7 linked regions of the Macaca fascicularis genome follow. The protein of the gene in region 5 binds, or shares a complex with, the protein of the main gene of each other region. Links are inferred from orthologs where the notes say so. Each region holds a gene or a part of one and is shown on either strand. Other genes may lie near its edges. The genes, in order: ARID1A, ACTL6B, PHF10, DPF3, SMARCC1, SMARCD1 and PBRM1.

Region 1 (3,500 bases), on a different chromosome or scaffold from region 5:
TTGACCATGAAGCTTAGGACAATCCCTGCAGCAAATTGTTTTTATATTCTTTAAAAGTTGACATGATAATTGTACTTATTTATGGGGAACATAGTGATGTTTCAATAGATATAACGTATAGTGATCAGATCAGGGTAATTAGCAGATATATAATCTCAAACACTTACTACTTCTTTGTGCTGAGACCCAGCAGCAAATTGTGAAGTTAGAGTGGGCTTGGCCATGTTAGTGTCTCCATTTCTCAGTACTTATCTCTGTTTTGATGGTTGCCCTCTTACATTTTGCCTCATGTGGTCGGCAGTTGCTGAAGACTCAACATTTGGTCTTTACTCATTAAGTCATTCATTTTGGTTTTTGTCATTCCTTTTTGTCTTTTCAAACCTCCATTTAGCAGAAACAGTTGGCATGCCCTGGTTAATGGCTTATGTCACTCTGAAGGTGCCTAAAATGACACACCACTATATAGAAAATCAGATAGAGACTCCATGCAAGTAGCTGCTAAAGAAAATGTAGATGGTAAAGTCCCAGGATAAGGAGGGAGAGCATTTGTTCGCATTGTATAAAGCTAATAACTATATGGATACTACCCACAAATAGGTTATATGCAGAGGAACCCCCAGATGCCCCAGTACAGTTCCCCCCAGCCCGGCTCAGCCTTATCTCCGCGTCAGCCTTCCGGAGGACAGATACACACAGGCATGGGCTCCTACCAGCAGAACTCCATGGGGAGCTATGGTCCCCAGGGGGGTCAGTATGGCCCACAAGGTCAGTATACTACCCAGTTAGGAGTAGATAGGGGTGAGAGGAGAAAACAGTTCCTTGTCTGATATGTTGCCATCTAGCTTGTAACCTTGTGAGAGAAGGGCTGTCCTTTGCCTTAAATCCACCCAGGCCAGGCCCTTGAAGAAGGGCAAGGAAAGATTCCATTTGTCTCCACTTACTCCGTCACCATGAGAAAGTCTTTCAATTTCACTGAGCCTCTGTTTCATTTGTAAAAATGGAGATAAGGTGTTTACTCCACCATTGAGCACAGACAATTAATACATGGTAGCTATTGGTTATTACTTTTTTAAAATTATTTTTAGTGAATAAGTCATAATGGAATAGATCTTTGCTCAAAATTACAGCCCTAGGCAGATCAAAAGTTGAGTATCTTACACAGAGCATGGAGATAGAAAGGAAGTTATCTTCTTCTGGAAGTTGAAGTGCCTGTGTGGCAGCAAAGCCAGCCTTGCTCTGTGCTGCCTTTAAGATGGAGGGGATAACTGACCTGCCTTTACATGCTTCTGGCACCCCCCCACTTTTTCTCATGGAGATAAAGGCTACCATGAAGTTGGTCTCTTTCCTAACCAAAATATTGAATGACATTGTTTGGTGTTCTAGAGTTGAGAGATATTAGTGAGTTGCTAGTGTGAGTCACTAACCAAGTCTCTGTCTTCTCTTCCTCCCCTCTCAGGTGGCTACCCCAGGCAGCCAAACTATAATGCCTTGCCCAATGCCAACTACCCCAGTGCAGGCATGGCTGGAGGCATAAACCCCATGGGTGCCGGAGGTCAGATGCATGGACAGCCTGGCATCCCACCTTACGGCACACTCCCTCCAGGGAGGATGAGTCACGCCTCCATGGGCAACCGGCCTTATGGCCCTAACATGGCCAATATGCCACCTCAGGTTGGGTCAGGGATGTGTCCCCCACCAGGGGGCATGAACCGGAAAACCCAAGAAACTGCTGTCGCCATGCATGTTGCTGCCAACTCTATCCAAAACAGGTAAGGCCTGGGAAGTGGAGAGGGTATCAGTTCTAGAAAATGTATTGTAGACCCACTCAGATTATTGAGATGCTTCTGGACCTAAATCGGGGGGGAAAATGGGTGTGTGTATGAAGTGTTAATTCTTACATGTCTTAGATGGGTCTGAAATTTCACATGACTAAACATCATATGTAAAGAACTTTATAAAAAACAGGGTTGGCCGGGCGCGGTGGCTCAAGCCTGTAATCCCAGCACTTTGGGAGGCCGAGACGGGCGGATCACTAGGTCAGGAGATCGAGACCATCCTGGCTAACAGGGTGAAACCCCGTCTCTACTAAAAAATACAAAAAGCTAGCCGGGCGAGGTGGCGGGCGCCTGTAGTCCCAGCTACTCGGGAGGCTGAGGCAGGAGAATGGCGTAAACCCGGGAGGCGGAGCTTGCAGTGAGCTGAGATCCGGCCACTGCACTCCAGCCCGGGGACAGAATGAGACTCCGTCTCAAAAAAAAAAAAAACAGGGTTTTGGCTGGGCGTGGTTGAGTGGGACTACAGACACACACCACCACACACGGCTAATTTATTTTTTATTTATTTATTTTTTTTTATTTATTTACTTATTTTGAGACAGAGTCTCACTCCATTGCCCAAGCTGGAGTGCAGTAATGTACTTTCAGCTCACTGCAACCTCTGCTTCCCAGGTTCAAGCGATTCTCCTGCCTCAGCCTCCCGAGTAGCTGGGATTACAGGCACCCGCCACCATGCCCTGTTAATTTCTATATTTTTAGTAGATACTGGGTTTCACCATGTTAGCCAGGCTGGTCTCGAACTCCTGACCTCAAGCGAGCTGCCTGCCTTGGCCTCCCAAAGTGCTAGGCATGATCCACCATGCCTAGACTTTTTTTTTTTTTTTTTTTTTTTTAAATAGATACGGAGTCTCACTATGTTGCCAGGGCTAAAGACAGCTTATTTTGATTTGCAAAATAAGTGTTCAGAGTAGGTGGTTTAACTTCTATCAGTCAACATTTTGGTTTCCAAAAGGATTCTTAATGATACATATGTCTTGGATCTTTGGTGTTAGAAATAGCAAATGGTAAGCTTGTGGTTTGCCATTTCTCTTACTGTTTTATGTGGTCCTGTGTGTTGACTCTGGTGCTAGAGTGCAGAAGGCTCACGTGATTAGGTTTAACGACTTCTTTGGCCACTAAATCTTATTGAGTTGTTGATGAACCAAGGTAAAATAGGGTGATTGACTATAAAGAGCTGGATTTGGTAGAACTTCAGAAAGATGGAAGTGCAAAGTTTGCATTAGCCCATCAAGAAATAATGCAAAGCCACCTCTGGGTGATATGCTGAGGGTTCCAGTCTGGAATTTAGCATGACAAAAAGTGGTACAGTTCAGCATTTCATCTATGTCTTTTGCCACAGACAGGGCCCTTAAATGGAAATACAACTTGACTTTGGAGGTGGCTTTGAGGGAGGCAGTACTTAAAAGACACAGCAGGGCTCTGCTTCAAAGAATTGTACCCTTTGAAATTCAGCTATTGTGGCTGGGTGCGGTGGCTCACTCCTGTTATCCTAGCACTTTGGGATACCGAGGCAGGTGGATGACCTGAGGTCAGGAGTTCAAGACCAGCCTGCCCAGCATGGCGAAACCCCATCTCTACTAAAAATACAAAAAATTAGCCAGGCATGGTGGTGGGCACCTGTAATCCCAGCTACTTGGGAGGCTGAGGCAGGAGAATCGCTTGAAC
Region 2 (4,050 bases), on a different chromosome or scaffold from region 5:
ACCAGACTGGGCAACATAGTGAGGGCCCTTCTCTAAAACAAGCAAACAAACAAAAAAAACCAGGTGTGGTGGTGTGCACCTGTAAGTCCCAGCTACTCAGAAGGCTGAGGCGAGAGGATCACTTGAACCCAGGAGTTCAAAGTTACGGTGACCTGTGAGCGTGCCACTGCACTCTAACCTGGGTGACGGAAGACCCCAATTCAAAAATAAAAGAAACAAAAACCCTCTTGTTGATAAATGCCTCCTTAGGAAAATAGGCGCTGAAGAGAGAGAGAGATGGAGAAAAGAAGCTAAAGCCAGGTGGGCTGTGTGTGAACGTATGTATATGTGCGTAAGCATGTGTACACATGTATAACGCCCAGGTACTGGGGTGGTGGGGGTAGGGGTGGAGCAAAGCAAGGAAAAGAGGGGCCAGCGAAAGACAAAGGAGGGAAGTTGGACACGGTGGCTCATGCTTTTAATCCCAGCACTTTGGGACATTGAGGCCAGGAGTTCAAGACCAGCCAGTCTCTAAAAAAAAAACAACAAACAAAGAAAAAAACAGAGAGAGATGGAGACACACCCCCACCCCCTCTGGTCCCTCTCTTAATCTTCCCTTCCCTCCCTCTCCCGGCAATTCCATTTAGGCCTGGGTGTGGCAGAACCGGGCTCAGAGCAGCCTGAAGACAGATGACCCTTCTGGGGAGTGGAGCTCTCTCCCCAGTCTTGCTTTAAAAAGTAAGGGGGTAGAGGTCGGGCATAGCACTTTGAGAGGCTGAGGTGGGAGGATCGCTTGAGGCCAGGAGTTCAAGATCAACCTGAGCAAGACCCTGTCTCCATAAAAAAAATTTTTTTAATTTGCCAGGTGTGCTGGCACCTGCCTGTAATCCCTGCTATCTGGGAGGCTGAGGAGGATCGCTTGAGCTCTGGAGTTCGAGACCAGCCTGGGCAACGTAAGAAGACCTCCGTTTCCACCAAAAAATTTAATAAAAACAAAAAGCAAGGGGGTAGGGACCTCATCAGTCGTCCTGCAGAGTCTTGGTCTCCGCCTCTGCCCTGCTCTCCTCTCTGCCGCCCGTTCCTTAGCGACGGTCTCTAAGTCCCTGCTAGGCGCCCCCTGCCCCATCTCCTCCTGGTCGCCTAACGGAGGGTATCTTCCCCTTTAAATCCGCGGCCCCCGGTCCGGTCATTGTCTCGCCTGGCAGCCAATCGGCGGCGCCGTTGGGGGCGGGGGATCCGGCCTCCCAATTGGTCGCCGCGCGCCCCGCCCCGCCAGGGATCCCGGGAGCTGTCCGGCCGCCTCGGTGCTGATCCCGCCGCCGCCCACGGGCCGCTAGCAGCGCAGAGGGCACTATGAGCGGGGGCGTCTACGGCGGAGGTGAGCGAGCCTCCGGCCCCCTGCGTTCCGAACCCGCGCCATCCATCCGAGCTCTGGGCACCCCGGGGCCTGTCACCTCCGCGCATGAACTGGTCCAGTCTCAGGCTCGGGTTCCCGCCTCCCCTGCGCTCCGTTCTCGTGCGCACCGGGCCGAACCTCTCTACCTTACAACCCACCTCCACCTGGCCCCGGCCCCTTCCTTTCCCGTCGGGAGGGTGGCCTGAGCAAGGCCAGTGGGCAAGAAGGGACCCTGGCGGTATGATGCCCCCACCCCCAGTCCCAGGACCTCAGACTCCAGGCCCAGTTCCCACCGGCTCCAGACTGGTGTTGAAGGTGGCGAGTCTGTGGCTCTGCCCTGACTTTCTCTCGGAACTACCTAGCGGGAAAAACTTCGGGGGAGGTCCCCTTACAGGCCTGTCTCCCCTCACAGATGAGGTGGGGGCGCTGGTCTTTGACATTGGCTCCTTCTCAGTCCGCGCTGGGTACGCTGGGGAGGACTGTCCCAAGGTGAGCCTTCCAGTCTCCTCTCTAAATCCTAGGGGCTCCGGACCCTTCTTCAGGCTTTCCAGTGACCCAGGGCTCTCCCAGATCGCCCAGAAGCTCTGCTGAGCGGGAATGTGGGAATAAACCCAGGGGCGGGCTGAGGACCCTGCCGTGGGGCTGGACAGGGGCAAGAGGGTGACCCCTCTCCTGCCGATCCTCCCCCAACCCTTCCCCACCAGGCTGATTTCCCCACCACGGTGGGGCTGCTGGCCGCGGAGGAGGGGGGCGGGCTGGAGCTGGAGGGGGACAAAGAGAAGAAAGGGAAGATCTTCCACATCGACACCAATGCCCTGCACGTGCCTCGGGATGGAGCGGAGGTCATGTCGCCCCTCAAGAATGGCATGAGTAAGGGGCCCCCACCCATCACCTCCTGACAGATAGGGAGCCCACTCCCCACGCTGGGACATAGCAGCCCCCACTCCCCAAGGAGTCTTCCTTGCAGCCCCAGGGTTCTTCTCGCTGCCAGGGTTCTTCTCGCTGGGTTCCCTTCCCAGGGGCCCAGCAGGTTTCTGGGAAGGGGGGATGTTCCCCTGGGCCTGGACTCACTGACCCTCCTTTGGGCTTGGCCTTTCTCCCTCCTTTTCTTCCTGTCCCTGACCCCTGCCTGCCCTCTTGCCTTTCTCCACTCTGTTCTTCTGGCCCCAGTCGAGGACTGGGAGTGCTTCCGAGCCATCCTGGATCATACCTACAGCAAACACGTCAAGTCTGAGCCAAACTTGCACCCCGTGCTCATGTCCGAGGCCCCGGTGAGTGCCTCCTGCCTTCCCATGTCCAACCCCAATCTCCACTGCACCTGCTTCCCACCATCCACCTCTCCTCCTCTCCCCTCAAGCCACCGATGTCAGCCACTTCCCTTCCCTTTTCAGACTCCCCTCACCCATCCCAACCACTTTCCTTCCTTCCTAAGTCTCCATCCCTCCTGCTCTCTTCTTGTTCTATCTACTCTGCTGCCCTTCTCCATCTCCAAGTCCTTTTTAAATTTTTTTTTTTTTTGACACAGAGTCTCACTCTGTCACCCAGGCTGGAGTGCAATGGTGAGATCTCAGCCTCTGCCTCCCGAGTTCAAGGGATTCTCCTGCCTCAGCCTCCCGAGTAGCTAGGATTACAGGCACCTGCCATCATGCCTGGCTAACTTTTTGTATTTTTAGTAGAAATGGGGTTTTGCCATGTTGGCCAGGCTGGTCTCGAACTCCTGACCTCAGGTGATCCACCCGCCTTGGTCTCCCAAAGTGTTGGGATTACAGGCATGAGCCACCATGCCCAGCCTCCAAGTACTTTTTAGACCTTTTAACTTATTATTATTTTGGTCAACATTGGTGAGCTGGGGATGTGGGCTCACACCTGTAATCCCAGCACTTTGGGAAGCCAAGGCGAGAGGATCACTTGAGCCCAGGAGTTCGAGACCACCCTGGGCAATATGGCAAGACCCATCTCTTTTATCAAAACAATAACAATTAAAAAAATTTTTAAACTGCATTTTTAAAAATGTTCTTACCCATATCCTTATAGATTCCTCTTTATAGAAGCAACTGTTTTTCTCCTTTTTAGCTAATTTTGGGGGTATTTTCTTCCATATCTCTAATATTACACTTAAATTGCTGCCTGTGGAGTTTTTAGTTTTAGATATTATCAATGAATTTTCCACTCTAGAAAATGATCACTTAGCTCTTTTTTCCTCCCCAGCCTATGCCACAACATATTTCTATTACCCTCCTTTAAGTACAGTGGGTTTTGTTGTTGTTGTTTTTGTTGTTGTTGTTTGTTATTTGTTTTTGAGATTTTGTCTCAAAAACAGGGGCTCCGCTCAGTTTATCACCCAAGTTGGATTGCAGTGGCACAATTCTGCAGCCTTGGTCTCCTGGGCTCAAGTGATCCTCTCATTTCAGCCTCCGGAGTAGCTGGAACTACAGGCATGAGCCACCACGCCCAGCTGATTTTTAAATTTTTTGTAGAGACAGGGTTTCACCATGTTTTCCAGGCTGGTCTTGAATTCCTGGGCTCAAGCGATCCGCCCACGTCGTCCACCCAAAATGCTGGGATTACAGGTGGGATCCACTGCACCCAGCCCAGTTGTGTTTTAGACTTTGAAAGAAATCAATATTCAGTATTTACACTCTTTTTAAGTTAGAAATAATTTTAAGAGAATCTTT
Region 3 (3,500 bases), on a different chromosome or scaffold from region 5:
AAGAGTCCTCCTGGCTGTCAGGAGCGCTTTCTCCTTCAGATACATTGCCAGAGGAGCTGTCCTGGAGTTTAAAAGGCAAAAACAAAGATTCTTTGGAATTGAGTCTGGATTTTGAAAACTATGGAAAATACTCAAAAAAAGTTTTAAAGCCTTATCAATTTAAAAATAAAAAGATCATTCTAAATGTAAGAAAGTTTTTTCCAGTGGAGACTAAAGTAACTTATGTTAAAAATCATTCATCTTTCTTCTAAGTATGATATGGTATAAAACTGATTGCATTCATATCAGTGCCTTCATCAACTTTGTTTTCTGACCTAAGTCACAAAAATGCAATTATCCGCTTCAGCTACTATTATACGGCACACAGCTTCAACATCATTTTCCATGTCACAAGGGAACATATTTGTTTCACACAAAAATATATTGTTACAAATAAGTGTGGGTATTTTCACTGAGTACTAAAAGTCATTAAGAAGGTCCTTCAGGAAAAATGAAGTGCTGCAGTTAAAAAAAAAAAAAAAAAAAAATTCCTTCGAGTACACATTTGTGTTTTCATAATGTTAAACCATGCAGAGCCAATCCCTCAACTATCTACAACAGGATGTGAAAGATTGCATATACTCAAGGTTTAAGACCTCAATATCTAATGATTTAATTCTTCATTTTATAATTTTAAATTTTCTAATTAGAACTTTCATATAAATTATGAAAATTATAAATGAAAAAATTAGATTATCTAGAGCCTCCCTGATAAACACACACTGACTAGAAACATGAATATATCCACTTCATCTTTTTTCTGGGTGTCCACTTATATACATAAAGATACCGAGACTCACACATACCCCCTAACCTCATTGTGCCCTCATTTTTTAAAACACAAAACTGGATTACACTGCGTATGTATGCATGTGTGTGTTTTGGTATTTTTTTAAAAGCATTATGTGCATGTTCTCACAATCATTAAATATTCTTTGAACTGCATTTCTATCCTATAAATGTAATATAATATTACCCACTGTGGGCATTAAAATTTATTTGTAACTTCCAGGATAAAAAATACTGTAAACACTCAAACAGACCTTTTTATTCTAATTAAATTTTTTTCAGCATCTGATTAAATCCTTAGGATAAATTCTACTAGTGGATTTGCGAGGTCAAATTCTGTGGAACTTAAATTGGTAAGACTGTCAAAACGCTTTCCCATAATGTTGGATTAGTTTCCACTTTTCCTAGCAGTATGAAAGGAAGTCAGCTTCATCCCCCTTTGCATGCCATAGCTCCCCTTTTAGCAACATAACAGGAGAAAAGTTGTATCACCACTTTAATACTTGAACAGCATCTTATTTTGCATAATATGTATTATTAAAGATGTTTTAGAAGCTGCTGGGGACAAGGAAATAATGTCCATTCAATGGTAGCACAACCTCACATTTAGATTGGCTTCAATGAAAAGTCTGAAATAGCCAGTTACTTAAAACACAATGCTAAAGAAATTCAAAGCCCTATGTCATCACTGTGATCAAAGCCCTAAACCATCAAGGGGATTCTGTTCTCCTTCAGATCCACAGAATTCACCAGCTGCCCATTGTTTTGCAAGCGCATTTTGCTACAAAAAAAGAGTCATACAGGAAAACCCAACAAATTGCAAAACATATTACTAAACACAATATTTTCCTATAGGAAGCCTAAGATTAAGCAAAAGAAACCTAAGTTAATGCACTCCCCTAAACTAAGAAAACTACATTTCTGTGTCAAGAGATCAAATTCTGTTTTGTTCAATATTTTAAGCTAAAGAGACAACAAGTTGAATAAATGACTGTAAGCTAATTTTCCAATATCCTTGCCTAAATCGCTCATGGTAACTACAAAGGGGCGATTTTAAGTATAAATCTTACCAAAGGCCACACACGGCTTGTTTTTTATCAAAACATACTATAAATAACTTTTCTTGATGAATACCTTCTGGAAATTACATGCAACCATCCTTTTTCAAAGAGAGGGTGATGACAGAAGTTCAATGTAACATTCCAGGAAAGCAATTAGCAAAAATTCAAAGAGAAAGGAAACGCTTCCCACTAGAGAGAAATGTTCTCACCGAAGTGCCTTTATTTTTCCGTTTCTCGTCACCTCGACCATCTTCGCCATCATCTGAATCACCGTCACTGTCTAGAGCAGGGAGCTCAGGATCCAGAGGGGGCTCATATAGGGCTGTGTTTAATGGCAGATACCGCAGCTCATCTGGTGAGTACCTGAAGTTCAGAGCGTTTATTTTTGGTTTCCCTTTATTATTAAATATAAATAGACTCATCGTTGACCTATGAAGAGAGCCTTAAACTTCTTGAGTAACTCCAAAGACTTCCGAAAAATAGAGTATTAATTTTTAATTTTTGTCATCAAGTAGGGTTAATAAAAAGCCTGAACATCTTTTCACTAGACTTATGTAAAATATGCATTTGATTCTAAAAGATAATGCGCCTCTCCTCTTTGCCCTCAACCCAAAAAAACAAAACAGTAAATAAAATGTCAGTAGCCCCAAGTCTGACTGCCAGCTCACATCCACGTCCACCACTGTTCCAGGTCTTTGCTACTTCTCTGTGCTATCACTCCACTTGTAAAACAGGCCTAATAATAGCATCTACCTCATACACCAGTGCATGGTACATGATATTACTTAATATTAATATAGAAAGCAAAATTTTTAGTAACAAATTATTGTAAACAAATTTGGGAAGCATGTATTCTAAAAAATCTAATCAACTATTTTTTCTGAAACTAGATTGGCAATCTCTTCCCCTAGGTCAGACAGCAATGCTTTGTGCCACCTCCATTCTCACCCTCAGTAGTCCTCATTCAGGAAGCGACCCTGGATCAGGACTTCTCCAACTAAGACAACACACCAAAAAGCAAAGGAGTTGGTATACTTGCATATGACTTTTAATAATTTGCTGACACCAGAGTAAAATTTTTAAAAATTTAAGGCCGAGTGCAGTGGCTCACGCCTGTAATCTCAGCACTGCGGGAGGTCAAGGTGGGCAGATCACCAGAGGTCAGGAGTTCGAGACCAGCTGGCCAACAGAGTGAAAATCTGTCTCTACTAAAAATACAAAAAATTAGCCGGGCGAGGTGGTAAGTACCTATAATCCCAGCTACTTGGGCGGTTGAAGCAGGAGAATCACTTGAACCCGGGAGGTGGAGGTTGCAGTGAGCCGAGATCGTGCCACTGAACTCCAGCCTGGGTGACAGCATGAGACTCCATCTCAAAAAAAAAAAAAAAATTGAAGAAAAACTTTTAAAAAAACTGCTGCCCATGATTTAAATTTGAATTAAAAAACCTTTTTAATTTAAAAAATTTCTGCCCAAGATGTGACTTTCAAATGGTGTGAGTTATGATACTATACTTTAAATTCTATTCTCTAAAAAAATAGTCTATTATGAAAAACATACGGTTCCAGAGTAAGGCTTAAGGTTGAAGTAAAAGCTGAGACTTTAAAACAAAA
Region 4 (4,159 bases), on a different chromosome or scaffold from region 5:
ACTCTTGAAATTCTGGAATGTTTATTTTATTTTATTCATTGTCTTGAGAGGAGCAAAAGGAAGCGAGAGGGCATAGCTTTGAACTGGCAATTTGGCAACTTCTCTCCCCTTGCCACCCCTCCCCCACTATCTTAGCTATTTGACCTGATTAAACAGCTTTGGAATGGTAGCCAGACTTCTGTATGCTAACGAGGCCCCTACCCTATTCTCGATTTAATGCGGTTTCATCCACGCAGAGCTTCCCGGTGCCCAGTGGAAGCCTGACTTCGCAGAAGTCTCCCAATTTTGTCAGGGGCTCGCCAGTGAAGAGTTCACACTGACTTGAAGCAGACACAGACTCTTTGGACGCCTCGGGTCACATCGGATTATTCACTAGCAAATTCTTTCCACCTTCTAAGTAGTGAAAGGTGACGTCAGAATCGCGTGTGCCACTCCTCTAAAGGGACTCTGACAACACCCAGTCCAGGCTCTACGACTTCTGCCTAGGCACTTGCTTCCTAGTAGTAGAAAGTTTCCAAAGGTTGCCTCAAGTCCTCCCTACCTCTAAGCCTAAAGGTCAGAGCTCCAGGTCGCACCACCGAGCAGGAATCTGAGCATTTTGGAAGTTTCTGGTGTAGGGAGCAGAACAGAAGGGGTGGTAGCGGCGGACCGCGCAGAGTAACCCCCCTGCACTACGTAAAGAAAGCCCTGGCTGCAGGAGGGAGTGAGCCTGACATTGAGGCATTCCAGGGGGAGGGTGAGTTGCTGTCCTGGAGTCGCCAGGAACAGCAGCGGCAGTTCCAAGAAGCGAGAGAGGAAGGTGGCGGAGATAAAGAGAACACTTCGGGAATAAGAATATTAAAAAGCAGCAGGACCCAGAGCATTAGCAAACGGCAAAGCACACGAAGTAATTTGTTACACGAAGCGGCAGCCTTCCAACTTTTGTACTGAAACACGGGGATTTACCCTTTGGGGGATTAAAAATGTTGATATGCAAAGCCAAAAGCTAATGAATAGGATTCAGTGGCTTGCTGGCAATATTGAAATATTTCTGTCCAGGAGCGCAAACTCTGCAGTTATTTAGAAAAGTAGGGAGTTGAACCAAACTATAATATTCTCCCGTGCGTCTCCACTTTCCCCAGCCCGAAAAGGAGCTGCCAACGCGGTACTTCCCCTTTAAGACCTGCTGGCTCTCGGGCTCTACAAAAGGGAGTGACCTCTGGGCTTTGACAGCTCCCCTAATAACTACCACCGAGCAGGCCCCGCCCACCTGGCGACCAGCCGCGCCGATTGGCCGGCGGGCCGGTATCCCGCGCTCTGATTGGCCTGTCGCTTCCCCTGAGCGAACCTTTAGAACTCTGAGACAGACAATATTCTGTTACATTGTAGCAAAATGGCGACTGTCATTCACAACCCCCTGAAAGCGTAAGTAAGACTAAAAAATGTACATATTCCGCGTGGTTTCAATATGAAAAAAAAGGCGCCTTCTGCGTGGCGAGCGCTGCCAGTGCTTGCGCTTGCAGGCGCCTCCAGCCGCGGCGGGGCTTCTCTCTTCTTTCAGCTCTTACTTCTTTTTTTTCCCCCAACGCGCAGAAATGTCAGGAGATGCAATTAACAAGAAGAAAATTGTTACATTTGTGTTCTGCTAAATTGCAGAGAGAGCGAGAGATAGGGGTTGCCGGCGGAGGAGCCCGGCGCTCGAGCGCTCTACAGCAGGGGGGTCGCGGGAGCTCGGGGACAGCGCGGTCCCTGGAGTCCCCCGCCTCGCGGGCAGGGAGCGAGGCTCCGGGGGCGGCCGGGCGGGGGGCGAGCGTCGGGCCGGGACTGCCTCGGTGCACTTGGCCGAGCCCTGCACCCCCAAGCCCGCGGCCCCCGCCCCGCCGCTGGGTCTGCTGGGTCCGGCGGACGCACCGCGGAGGCTCCGGAGTTTGCAGGGCGCTCTTCGCCTTCCGATCGCTCGCGGGGAGTTTGTGCAAACCTTCCGGAGTTGGGAGCACCGCGGGGGAAGCAGCGGGTCCCGGGCGCGCTGGGTCCCAGGTGGTCGCCCCGGGCTTTCCCCGGCAGCCCCCGGATCTCGGAGGCGCTCCGGGCGACCGCGCGTGTGTCTGCTCGTGTGTTTGCGAGCAACCTGGCTGTAGTGGATTAACGACTCGGGTTAACTTGGGGTGGATTTGGAGGCAGGGAAGCCGCAGGTCTTATGAATGGTGTTCTCGCCACCTCTGGGTGAGGCGCCGAGGCAGGCGGAGAGGCGGTTTTGGGGCTCCTGGCCCGAGGGGGCAGCGTCTGCTCCCGGCCGGGCGAGGGGCAGGTGCCTCTGGCCGCCCCGGGGAGACTTTGAGCGCTTGTCCAGATCCTGGACAGAGTGGGGCGGGCCGGACGAGCACTCGCGGGGGCCAGCCCCGGGTCCAACAGCCAATTTCTGCCTGCCTGCCTGCCTTCCTCCTCCTTTTCATCCTGGCTTCCTTCCTTCCTTCCTTCCAGTCGGTGGAACTGTTAAGCCGCCAAGTCCGCTCGCGATCGCGGAGCCAAGGGTGGCCTCGGAAAACTAGTGTCGCTCTGAAAGGGGTGCTATTGGGTGATGTCGGCAGAGGGTGGCTCCCTCCGTATTCGAGGTGGGCTGGGGGTCCGCACCCCTTCGACCGGGACTTCCCCGCCCGGACGAAGCCGCAGGCAAAGAGGGGGAGAGGGAGGTGCGGGCCGGGTAGGGGGCGGTTCGTGCCGAATTCTCCCTGGTGCGTGGCCACTGTCGACCCTGCTTCTTTTAATTCAGCGCATTCTCGTCTTCACCCCTCGCCACTCCTGGAGTTGAAAACCAGGTTCGCTCCCGGAGACGGTAGGGGGGTTCCTAACGCAAAGGAATGCACAGGGAGAATCAGACGTGTTTGCACCAGCTCGTCGCCCACCAGAAATAGGGAAACGGGTAGGAATGCCCCAGGTTTCAAAGATATTTATATGAAAGCTGCCGTTAAGAGGACGTTGGAAGCTGAGGCTGAGCAGATAGGAGCTCCCGGCTTCAGTTCTGCCTCGGAAGCTCGGATACACTGCACTTGAACGCCACAGCGTTTCATCCAAGAAAGAAAATGTTTTATGGCAGAATAAATGGGCGTAACTTCGCCGCATCCTCGCTGCCGGTTGCTTTCGCTGCAACACCGCTGATGCTGTCTCTACCGAACCCACAACTGATTTGCAGTTTCCCCATATCCAGCCGAAATCACATAACCAGGCTGATGCCACCTGGTAAACTCAAGTTAGAGAATCTATTTCACATGTGCACCAGGTTTGTTTCCTACTGGGAAAGCCGTACCCTAGTTACCCGGGAGCCCGCTTTCGCGCGGGCGGGCGCAGTATCTCTAAGCTTCAGTGTTCCCCTGCTCGCTCCAGGGTTTTTTTGGATCACAGTAGGGTGCGCGTTTGGGGAGGGAGTCTGTGTAGGGTGGGGTTAAGGGTGGGGGAAGGGACAGACGGGGGGGAAAGAAGGTGGCGGAATCCCGGCTGGTTAGGGGAATTAGTTCTGAATTGTACTTTGTATAATTAGAAACAGTTGCAATGTGATGTATTTGTAATTGTGCCGCCACACGCATGCACACACTAGCATACACACAACGCCCCTGCTTGCTTTTTCTAGGTGGGAGTTGAGTGGTCATTTATAATTAGCCATTCCTTTCTGCTTCCCAGACCCTTTCCCTGGGGGTAAAGGGGTGTAAACAATACCCCTGACCAGCCCAGCCTCTCACACCCTGGACAGTTTTTAACTCCTAATGCAGGAGCACACACGTTGTTATTGGGAGACGGACACCATCTGCCTTTTTTTTTTTTTTTAAACAACTTGTTTAATAAAACATCTTATATATTTCATTTGTTTTTAAAAGTTGCTGATCAGGAAACAATACAAACGTGAATAAATTATGCATGGGATAAATTAGAACAAAGTGCAGAGACACATCCAGCCGAAGGGATGGTGGTGGTGCAGGGAGGAGGGGTAGCGGAGAGAATGGTTTGGAGAGCTATGTTTTTATCCTCATGTGTCCCTCCTGACAATGAAACAGAGCTGAATGACATTAGCATTTTCTCTGTGTGCGTTCTGAGTCTCTCTCTTCCCTCCAAAAAAAAAAAAAAAAAAAAAAAAAAAAAAAAAAAAGCCAACACCACGGACGCCCCCTACAGAAAATGGTCACACAAA
Region 5 (3,500 bases):
ATAGATACATATGTATCAATAGATAGATAGATAGATAGATGGATGGATGGATGGATGGATGGATATCTGTAGTTCTTTCTTTCTTTCCACTTTGTCTTCTTTTCTGTAGGAAGATGAAGATCCTGCCAAAGGTGATCAGAGTCGATCAATTGACCCTGGGGAAGATAATGTGACAGAGCAGACTAATCACATTATTATTCCTAGTTATGCATCATGGTTTGATTATAACTGGTGAGTGACCACTTCATCTGTGAGCATGGTACTGAGCAGTACAAGAACTTTCCTTCAAATCAGGTTGTGCCTTTCTGCCCATGTTCCTCGTCAGAAATTACTGTCACCTTTGACGAAGGGAGATGGAAAGTGATTTTTATCTTTGGAATGTGTTTATGGGTTTTTTTTGTTTGTTTTTTTGTTGAGACAGAGTCTTGCTCTGTCACCCTGGCTGGAGTGCAGTGGTGTGATCTCAGCTCACTGCAGCCTCTCCCTCCCGGGTTCACGGATGTCTTTACATCACATCACTGCACTCTAGCCAGGGTGACAGAGCAAGACTCTGTCTCAACAACAACAAAACAAACAAAAAAACACAAACACATTCCAAAGATAAACAGAATTTTTTTTAAAGTGGGCTCTTCCTCACCTGTAACAATGAAAACATTGGGAGTTATATTAGAATTATGTAATTAGTTCCTTACGGTTATTCTTTTAGAAGTCATTATGTATATTTATATAGCATTAATTCATCTTAGAAATTGTTTTTCTAGAAGTTTGCAGGTAATTCATTGTATTTATAGTATTTTACTGTGCAAATCCAATTTAATTTAAATGTTACCAAATACTCAAAGAGTGAATAATTTGAGTTATATTCCCAGACCATCGATTTGCTCTTTGCCATGCAACCAATACTTACATGTTGCATATCTGGAAAGCCACTGAGAAACTTAAAATGTCATCAGGAAGATGACACTTGTATTAGCAGCAGAAACTTTTTGCTAGATATACAGTTGGTTCATTTTTATACCGTTAGGCCTGATCATTTTACCTGATCTTTGCTTATGACCTGTAACATTTCATAAAATTATTAGCATTTGTATATATTGTTAAAATGTACTTCTATGATATTATTAAAAGCAATTGATACTGAAAATTTTAAAAAATTAATTTATCTCCCCAGCACCTCCACCAAAACTAAAAACTAAAAAGTAATTTATCACAGTGTTTCTGAGGGCTGGACAAAGGCTCATTTATGTTAACAGCCTGAGAAGCTGAGACTTGCAAATTTATTGTCTATTCTGGTCATTTGTTTCATCAGTTTGTTGCCATGCCATGCCAGCTACTTTGTTATTGTCAACATTTTTCAAAGAATTCTTCGTATCTTGTGGCTTCTTATCTAGTTATGATGTATTACGTCAAAAAATAATAAAATGTATAGTTTTCAGTGTGTCGATAGTAGTTTTTTAGTTTGGTTATGGGAATAGGAAAACTACAGTAAGTATTGGGAGTAAGAAAGAGAAGGCTTTCCTTAACTTTCTTGTATGCTGTTAATACATAGAAACTAGTGTAAGCCAATTAATTTTGGCAAGCGGTACTGAGGTTTTGGATTTATCACTTTTACTTAGAATATTTAATGATTTTATTCTTTTAAAAAGAAGGCTCCTAAACCTTTTTTTTTTTCTTCTTCTTTTCAGTATTCATGTGATTGAACGGCGTGCTCTTCCTGAGTTCTTCAATGGAAAAAACAAATCCAAGACTCCAGAAATGTGAGGCCAGTGTTTTAGAAAACTTGTTTATTTGCCTGTGTGTGGTAGGGCCTCTTCAAGCATCCACCTGAGTTTCTTATTGCTGATTCTTGGAAGTTTGCAAATACTCCTTTCAGAACAGTGTTCATATCTCATTTGTATAGCATTCCATGGTACAAAGGAAATTGTATCTAGTTTTGTTTTCTGTTTTTTGGGGGTTTTTCTTTCGTGTTTTTTTGAGACAGGGTCTCACTCTGTTGCCCAGGCTGGTGTGCGGTGTCATGATCTTGGCTCACAGCAATCTCTGCCTTCTGGACTGAAAGGATCCTCCCACCTCAGCCTCTTCAGTAGCTGGGAGAACAGGCACATGTCACCACACCTGGCTGATATCTATCTGTCTGTCTGTCTGTCTGTCTATCTATCTATCTATCTATCTATCTATTTTTTGGCAGAGATGGGGGTTTCACCATGTTGCCTAGGGTATTCTTTTATTTCTAAACCTTGAACTGTATGGACATCAGCTCTTGGAGTTTAAGTTTGGATTTTAAACCAATTTTTACTATAATGAATTCAGGCTTATCCTCACAACTTACCCTTTTTTTTTTTTTTTTTTTTTTATTGAGATGGAGTCTCACTCTGTCGCTCAGACTTGGGGTACAATGTTGCAATCTTGGCTTGCTTCAGCCACCACCTCCTGGGTTCAAGCTATTCTCCTGCCTCAGCCTCCCAAGTAGCTGGGACTACGGGCATGCACCACCACACCTGGCTAATTTTTGTATTTTTAGTAGAGATGGGGTTTCACCATGTTGGCCAGACTGGTCTCGAACTCCTGACCTCAAGTGATCCACTTGCCTCGGCCTCTCAAAGTGCTAGGATTATAGGCATGAGCCACCACGCCCGGTCTGTCCTAACAACTTTCAGCTTGTGTGTGCATGTATGTTATGGATTGTTTCTATTCATCCAGGAGAAAATGAATCTTTATCTTCCTGATGCATGAGTGCTAATTAAAAGAGAGACATGGTGATATAGCTACATGTGAATTAAGCTTAATTACATAAAGGATTTTTGTGCTTTTGCATTGGAAATAGAGAAACTCTTATTGGAAGGAAGAAGTTTGGCAGAAAGTACTTTTTGTCTTTCCCTGATGATTCATCAGTATATACTTCTGGAACACTTGTCCCTATATATAAGTACACACCTTTCAGTACTGTAGATACGCTCCCATGTATTAATCAGGGTATAATCTGTTGATTTTTTTTTTTTTTTTTTTTTTGTGGCGGGGGGACAAAGTCATTCCGTCACACGGGCTGGAGTGCAGTGGCATGATCTTGGCTGCCTGAGTTTTGTTTTTCTTGTGTGCCAAGAACTGTTGCTAGGTCTCAGAGTCCTTAACACTCTTGTTATTAAGTACTGTATTTTGTGACAGAAGTCATTGGAATCTGCTGTAACAGAATCTCAGTCTCTCTCTCCATTTTCGTATGTTCTTTTCTGGATTTGGTCTCATGGATTCTACTTATTGCCCAGCCATGATCTCCCTTAAAGAACTGCCACGAGAAGTTACATAGCTATTTTCAGAGCCAAATCCACGTGCCACATTTGAAATACAGAAGTGATAGGCAACAGAGGTTGAGAGCATAGATTGAAGAGCCACCACACTGGGTGCGATGAATTCTGGCTCCATCAATTACCAACCCTGTGGCTAGGACAAATTCTCTAACAACTCAGTGTTTGTTTCCTCACCCATAGATGGGATGATAGCAGACC
Region 6 (2,938 bases), on a different chromosome or scaffold from region 5:
TCAGTTTGCTGAGGCTGCTGTAGCAAACTACCACAAACTACCACAAACTGGGCAGTTTTAAACAACAGGTTTGTCTCACAGTTGTGGAGGCTGGAAGTCCAAAATTAGTGTGGGCAGTGCTGCTTCCTTCCGTGAGCTGGGAGGGAGACTCTGTTCTGTGCATCGCTCAGCTTCTGGTACCGCAGGTGTTCCTTGGCTTGTAGGTGGTGGTCTCTGTGTGACTTAACGTCATCTTCCTTCTGTACGTGTCTGTCTCCGTGTCCAAATTTCCCCTCTTTATAAGGGAACCTACCAGTCATATTAGGGGGTACCCTAGTGACCTCATCTTAACTTGATCATCTGCAGAGACCCTATTTCCAAATAAGGTCATTCACAGGTACTAGGGGGTTAGACTTCAACATTTTGGGGGAGGATACAATTTATGCAATAATGGGTGTGAAGGAAGGAAACAAGCCTTTTCTCCTCTCTCTTCCCTCTCCCTGCATCTCCCTCAGACAATGACTGATGTGGTGGGTAACCCAGAGGAGGAGCGCCGAGCTGAGTTCTACTTCCAGCCCTGGGCTCAGGAGGCTGTGTGCCGATACTTCTACTCCAAGGTAAGTACATGGTGTGCATGGGGAAATTGATAAAAGGCACAGGGTTTTTACCCCTGATAGGGGTCAGTGGTGTTAGACACAAACTTCTGGTTTGTCTCATCTTCTACTCCCGTCACTATTTTCTCCTTAGGTGCAGCAGAGACGACAAGAATTAGAGCAAGCCCTGGGAATCCGGAATACATAGGGCGTCTCCCACAGCCCTGATTCGGCTGCACCAATTTTCGATTTGGGCCCTGTGCTGCCTGCCTCATAGCACCTGCCTTGGTCTTGCTTGGGGCGTTCCAGGGGATGCTGTTGGTTCAAGGACAACACCAGAATGAAGAGGGTCTCACATTTCTGTCTCATAAGACACCTGTTACCCTCTTCTTTCACCCCATCCCTTCCCACCCCCAGCTTCCCTTTGACCCACAAAGTTCCCATGTGCCTCTACCCTCCCCTGGTCTACATAGGACCTCTAGATAGTGTTAGAGAGAGAACCTGTAGTGGTAATGAGTGCTTGGAATGGATTGGGCCTAAGGCCAGGTGGTCTTCAAGGGGACCAGCTACACTGATCCTGCCCTTCAGAGACCCAGGAGTTGGGAGCTTTAGCTCCTTCTCCAAGACTCAGGCCTGGGGGCACTCTATAAGCTAGTTGATCTTGGCTCTCCTGATAACAGAATCCAATTTCCTTCCTTCCCTCCACAGGTTTGGAACAAACTCTCCCTTCACTTGTTGCCCCATAGCACTAAAGAAACCCTGGTTCTTGGGCTCCACTGAGCCCCAGGTCAGTCCCCAGCCCTCTGGATTGGCCTGCTCTCTCAGTGCTTCTCTCACTCCTTAGTGGGGGTCCACATCAGTATTGGAGTTTGTTCTTTAACTGTTGCTCTCTCCCAGACACTCCCTGTGGCTGCCCTTTGTAATTCCCTCAGATCTGCCCTAACCCCGGGCATTTGGGTGGGGAAATCTTGCCTTTCCCTTTCAGAGCCCCAGGGATCTCATCTGGGGAACTGTCATTGCCAGCAGAGGCTGTTCCTTCCTGCTGCTGTTTGGAGATGTCATTCATTCACTCCACCCTGCCTCCCCATCCCTTAATGGAGAAACAGGCCTAAAACCAAACGGGTAAAAAGCCCTGGGCCATCCCTGTCTTCCTGTCCCTTGTCTGCCCAGTTGACACCTACTGGTGACTTCTAGGGCACTGAGGAGTGAAAGCGCCTAGGGCTGGAGAATAGCGCTGAGTTGGGTTTGTGACTCTTCCCTCTCCCTGCCTCACAGGATTGTGACTCCCCAGCCCCTGCCCTCAAAGCTTCAGACCCCTCAGGTAGCAGCAGGACCTTGTGATCTTGGCCCCTTGGAACTGAGATGGTTTTTGCATCTTTCCAGGAGGGCCTCACATTCTTCTTCCAGGTTGTATTACCCCCGAGTTAGCGTATCCCAGGCTCGCAGACTCAACACAGCAAGGGTGGGAGACAGCTGGGCACAGAGGGGGAATTCCGTTCAGCATGGGCTCTAAACCCACAGAACTGACAAAGCCCCTGCTTCCCCACCCCCTCCTCAGGCTCCTGCGAGCACACCCCCACCCTCAAATCCCTGCCTGTTCTATACTGGGGACAGCAGAGTTTTCTCCCAATCTTCCCCTTCCTGCCACTTTCCCTCCCTTGAAAGGTTGACACTGGACAACCTTGGGGCAGCTGAGCCCTGGCCCGCCTCCTGGCTGGAACCATGAGAAGGAAGCTCAGTACTTCCATAGTGTCCCTGTTGATAACTGTTTTTATTAACTGAATTATGTTTTTTTCATGGACCAAAATTTTTTTTGTACTGTCCCCTTATTGATGTTACCCAGTTTTAATAAAAGAATCTTCTGAAGGATGGGTCCTCTTACCTACTGTGAGAGAGCTCTTCCCTGAGCTCTTCTTCCTTCAATACCATTAGCCATGCTCGTAGTGTTTGTTCATTTTATTTGACAAGTATTTATTGAGCACCTGCTGTGTGCTAGTTGTGATGCTAGACACTGGAGATAAAGTGGAAAATGAGATTTCTACTTTTGTGGACCTCAGGGTCTTACCTTAAGAGATTGGTGTCTGCCCCAGTGGTCCAAGCAGGCTAGTTGCTGGTTGGGATTATTGGGTTTCACCACTGGATCTTAAGAGCCCTTTCCCGACTTTCCTTGTTACAGGTCAGTGGCAGTCATCTTCCTCCTTGTCCATCTGAGCTCCCCAGAGCACCTGTTGGCTGGAGTGAGCCATAGATGCCCATGATCCCCTTTCGTTTGACAAACCTAAGCCTTTGGAGGAGTTTCACTTCTTCCCCCAGGGCTTCTGTCTAGATGTGGGCAGGAACTGGACAACCAAAGACATTTTTGCTTT
Region 7 (3,500 bases), about 5.0 Mb from region 5:
CGGCCGAGACGGGCGGATCACGAGGTCAGGAGATCGAGACTATCCTGGCTAACACCGTGAAACCCCATCTCTACTAAAAAATACAAAAAAAAAAAAAAAAAAAAACTAGCCGGGCGAGATGGCGGGCGCCTGTAGTCCCAGCTACTCGGGAGGCTGAGGCAGGAGAATGGCGTAAACCCGGGAGGCGGAGCTTGCAGTGAGCTGAGATCCAGCCACTGCACTCCAGCCTGGGCGGCAGAGCGAGACTCCGTCTCAAAAAAAAAAGAATTGAGGAGGCATGACCGGACACTTTTTGAGGCTGAAGTGGGAGGATTGCTTTGAGCTCAGGAGTTCAAGATCAGTGGGCAACATGGTGAAACCCCGTATCTATTTTACTTAAATGAAAAAAAAAGAAGCAAGGAGTCAGGGAAGTCCCCCTATTAGTGCCTACGAATGCACATGTCTGAGCAGGCTTAGAGGAGCAGGGGATTCATTGAGCTCTTCTGGTGACTCAGCTCACATTCTCACCAGCTGCCCCGGCATGGCATTTGTCAATAGAGGAAGCAGAAGAGTTTGCTGATTTGTTTGTGCTGCCCTGCAAAGCAGTGATTTACACAGTTTAGGGAGCCACACCGTGTTGTGGAGTCTAAGGTGGGTGAGTGTCCCGGGCACAGGAGGTGATGGACACAGAAGTTAATAATATATTGCTGGAGCACCAGCTTACCCACCACAACCTCTTCATTCATTCACGAATAATCATCAGGATCCTACTTTGGTGATCCGGGTGGACATCTGGGTACTTGGAATATAAAACTCTCTGCTTTTTAAACAGAAGCTTTTTGACTTGTTATTTTCTAACAAATAAGAGGCTCTCTTACGCTTCCTGGAAGTGGCATTTAACAATTCTGAACCTTGGTGCTCGCTTCAGCAGCACATACACTAAAATTGGAACAATATGGAGAAGAGCATGGGGCAAGGATGACATGCAAATTCATGAAACAGTTCTGAACTTTAGAATGAGGAGCTGCTCCTGCCTGGACAGAATATCACGATTTTTAATCCAAAGGGACTATACACTATGAAGTTACCTCCTCTCGATTGTTCTACACAGCATTTGTTTAAGTTTTCAAGAACAGTTCACCACAGTTTTAGGTTTATTTATTTGTTTTTAATGAACTGGCTCCCTTGCCTATTTCTGTATTTTATCAGAATAGCAGAATGCACCCTGAAATCAAAAGAGCCTCTGACTCTAAATTTAGGACATCTCATTATTATCAGCTGTGCCTGTGAGACAACAATTGCTCGTGAGCATTCACTGAGGGAAGCTTACAAAATTACTATCAGGGACATAGTACAAATCTAGTAAGGCCATGAAGTCTTTCTGTTCCTTTGTCATTTTGCATATAAAGTGATAGCAACAAGGTTACTTCACTTCAGATGATTCCTTTTCAGAGTGCTACTCTATCAGATGGAAATGTTCTCTCTCTGCCAGCACTAGTGACTCCAGTTAGAACCAGCTCCTAATGGTCTGGGAGGAGATTGCAAGGCTCTGCCTTCAACCTTCACAAAGCTCATTTAACTATACACTTCCACAGCCTCTTCCCTTGTGTCCCTACTGTCCTAGCACATTGCCTACTGCTGAGCCTGATTCCAGTGCCATTTCTGCTGAAATTAAATACAGGCTTCAGTTGCAGGAGAATGTGTTGTCAGAAGAAATGTAGAGGTATATTCTTGAATGTAGAGGTATATTCTGACAATAGCTTACCTAGAGAAATACTAGAATTTTATGCAAGGTTCAAATCATTTCTAAGCCATAATTGATATACATCTGACAGATTGTTCTAGTATTATACTTTAAGTACCTAGAAACAAAACAACTTTCTCTTCAAATCCTGTTGGGGTGCTTAGGATTCCTAGCTACAAAGATTCAAGGGCAGAGGTACATAAGTTTGAATTATGAATGGCATAATTTCTTATCAGACAGTAGTTTTTCAGTCATTTCAACCCAGAGCCTCTAATTGTGCCATTGCATTCTGAATTATAGGTGTGATGAACCAAGGAGTGGCCCCTATGGTAGGGACTCCAGCACCAGGTGGAAGTCCATATGGACAACAGGTGAGCTTCCCAGTTTGATTTTCTAGGACTTGACAGAATTCGAGTTATCCTCCTTCTCAGAACATGTGCAGTCTCTTTCTGCCTCACCATGTGGTCCTGTACTCTTTCAGGTGGGAGTTTTGGGGCCTCCAGGGCAGCAAGCACCACCTCCATATCCCGGCCCACATCCAGCTGGACCCCCTGTCATACAGCAGCCAACAACACCCATGTTTGTAGCTCCCCCACCAAAGACCCAGCGGCTTCTTCACTCAGAGGCCTACCTGAAATATATTGAAGGACTCAGTGCTGAGTCCAACAGCATTAGCAAGTGGGATCAGACACTGGCAGGTAAGGAGATTCCTTCTAAATAAACCTTTGTGAAATACATGTTTCCTCAAAGCTGTCTCACTGCTGTTAGCATATTATATCATACAATAAACACCCCTTTTTGTTATACAATTAAAATAAATTATATATTTCATAAATGGTTTGGAGTTTCTTTGCGTGTTGACATAACACACTGAAAATGGTTTGTTTTGTTTTTGAGACGGGGTCTCGCTCTGTTGCCCTGGCTGGAGTGCAGTAGCACGGTCTTGGCTCACTGCAATCTCCACCTCCCAGGTTCAAGTGATTCTCCTGCCTCAGCTTCCCCAGTAGCTGGGATTACAAGCACGTGCCACCTCACCTGACTAATTTTTATATTTTTAGTAGAGGTGAGGTTTCACCATATCGGCCATGCTGATCTCAAACTCTTGACCTCAAGTGATCCACCCACCTCAGCCTCTCAAAGTGCTGGGATTACAGGCGTGAGGCACTGTGCCTGTCCTGAAAATGGTTTTTGGAATTTTTTGTTTGTTTGTTTTTATTTTTGAGACAGTCTCACTCTGTCACCCAGGCTGGAGTACACTGCTACAATTTCGGCTCACTGCAACCTCCGACCCCCAGGTTCAAGCGATTCTTGTGCGTTAGCCTCCTGAGCAGCTGGAATTACAAGTGCTCACCACCACACCCAGCTAATTTTTTTATTTTTAGTAGAGATGGGGTTTCACCATTTTGGCCAGGCTGGTCTTGAACTCCTGACCTCAGGTGATCCACTCACCTCAGCCTCCCAATGAGCTGGGATTATAGGCGTGAGTCATGGCGCCCTGCCTAAAAATGGGTTTTTTTGGCCAAATTTCAAAGCCTAGTTTTCTCATAAACATCACTGCCATCTTTTTAAGTATATTCTCTCTTTTTTTTTTTTTTTCCAGGCGTTTGGACGTTAGTATAGATGCATTGAGTAAATTAAAAATGATTGGCCAGGCACAGTGGCTCCCACTTTGGGAGGCTGAAGTGGACAGATCGATTGAGTTCATGAGTTTGAGACTAGCCTGGGCAACATGGCAAGACCCCGTCTCTACAAAAAAATTAAAAATTAGCCAGATGAG

Evidence for each region.
Region 1: SMARCC1 (region 5) and ARID1A share a complex: the UniProt entries of both Homo sapiens proteins name them as parts of the neuron-specific chromatin remodeling complex. The link is inferred for Macaca fascicularis from reciprocal best matches to the Homo sapiens genes SMARCC1 and ARID1A.
Region 2: SMARCC1 (region 5) and ACTL6B share a complex: the UniProt entries of both Homo sapiens proteins name them as parts of the BAF complex. The link is inferred for Macaca fascicularis from reciprocal best matches to the Homo sapiens genes SMARCC1 and ACTL6B.
Region 3: SMARCC1 (region 5) and PHF10 share a complex: the UniProt entries of both Homo sapiens proteins name them as parts of the neural progenitors-specific chromatin remodeling complex. The link is inferred for Macaca fascicularis from reciprocal best matches to the Homo sapiens genes SMARCC1 and PHF10.
Region 4: SMARCC1 (region 5) and DPF3 share a complex: the UniProt entries of both Homo sapiens proteins name them as parts of the BAF complex. The link is inferred for Macaca fascicularis from reciprocal best matches to the Homo sapiens genes SMARCC1 and DPF3.
Region 6: SMARCC1 (region 5) and SMARCD1 share a complex: the UniProt entries of both Homo sapiens proteins name them as parts of the BAF complex. The link is inferred for Macaca fascicularis from reciprocal best matches to the Homo sapiens genes SMARCC1 and SMARCD1.
Region 7: SMARCC1 (region 5) and PBRM1 share a complex: the UniProt entries of both Homo sapiens proteins name them as parts of the SWI/SNF-B (PBAF) chromatin remodeling complex. The link is inferred for Macaca fascicularis from reciprocal best matches to the Homo sapiens genes SMARCC1 and PBRM1.

What each region holds. Positions count from the first base shown.
Region 1 is NC_088375.1:208,345,392-208,348,891, reverse strand, and holds part of ARID1A (AT-rich interactive domain-containing protein 1A), read left to right. Parts: intron 1-597; coding exon 598-765; intron 766-1,456; coding exon 1,457-1,769; intron 1,770-3,500. UniProt on the Homo sapiens protein: Involved in transcriptional activation and repression of select genes by chromatin remodeling (alteration of DNA-nucleosome topology).
Region 2 is NC_088377.1:49,244,255-49,248,304, reverse strand, and holds the start of ACTL6B (actin-like protein 6B), read left to right. Parts: upstream 1-1,250; 5' UTR 1,251-1,332; coding exon 1,333-1,357; intron 1,358-1,787; coding exon 1,788-1,864; intron 1,865-1,896; exon of another isoform or gene 1,897-2,079; coding exon 2,080-2,245; intron 2,246-2,545; coding exon 2,546-2,646; intron 2,647-4,050. UniProt on the Homo sapiens protein: Involved in transcriptional activation and repression of select genes by chromatin remodeling (alteration of DNA-nucleosome topology).
Region 3 is NC_088378.1:1,322,202-1,325,701, reverse strand, and holds part of PHF10 (PHD finger protein 10), read right to left. Parts: intron 2,253-3,500; coding exon 2,099-2,252; intron 62-2,098; coding exon 1-61. UniProt on the Homo sapiens protein: Involved in transcription activity regulation by chromatin remodeling. Belongs to the neural progenitors-specific chromatin remodeling complex (npBAF complex) and is required for the proliferation of neural progenitors.
Region 4 is NC_088381.1:140,763,275-140,767,433, reverse strand, and holds the start of DPF3 (zinc finger protein DPF3), read left to right. Parts: upstream 1-1,359; 5' UTR 1,360-1,372; coding exon 1,373-1,404; intron 1,405-1,410; exon of another isoform or gene 1,411-1,584; coding exon of another isoform or gene 1,585-1,993; intron 1,994-2,043; coding exon of another isoform or gene 2,044-2,117; exon of another isoform or gene 2,118-2,242; intron 2,243-4,159. Other genes in the region: uncharacterized protein, read left to right, coding at 1,585-1,993, 2,044-2,117. UniProt on the Homo sapiens protein: Belongs to the neuron-specific chromatin remodeling complex (nBAF complex).
Region 5 is NC_088376.1:110,609,231-110,612,730, reverse strand, and holds part of SMARCC1 (SWI/SNF complex subunit SMARCC1), read left to right. Parts: intron 1-109; coding exon 110-231; intron 232-1,685; coding exon 1,686-1,757; intron 1,758-3,500. UniProt on the Homo sapiens protein: Involved in transcriptional activation and repression of select genes by chromatin remodeling (alteration of DNA-nucleosome topology).
Region 6 is NC_088385.1:56,929,158-56,932,095, forward strand, and holds the end of SMARCD1 (SWI/SNF-related matrix-associated actin-dependent regulator of chromatin subfamily D member 1), read left to right. Parts: intron 1-494; coding exon 495-596; intron 597-726; coding exon 727-780; 3' UTR 781-2,438; downstream 2,439-2,938. UniProt on the Homo sapiens protein: Involved in transcriptional activation and repression of select genes by chromatin remodeling (alteration of DNA-nucleosome topology).
Region 7 is NC_088376.1:115,644,765-115,648,264, reverse strand, and holds part of PBRM1 (protein polybromo-1), read left to right. Parts: intron 1-894; exon of another isoform or gene 895-992; intron 993-2,023; coding exon 2,024-2,094; intron 2,095-2,204; coding exon 2,205-2,421; intron 2,422-3,500. UniProt on the Homo sapiens protein: Involved in transcriptional activation and repression of select genes by chromatin remodeling (alteration of DNA-nucleosome topology). Required for the stability of the SWI/SNF chromatin remodeling complex SWI/SNF-B (PBAF).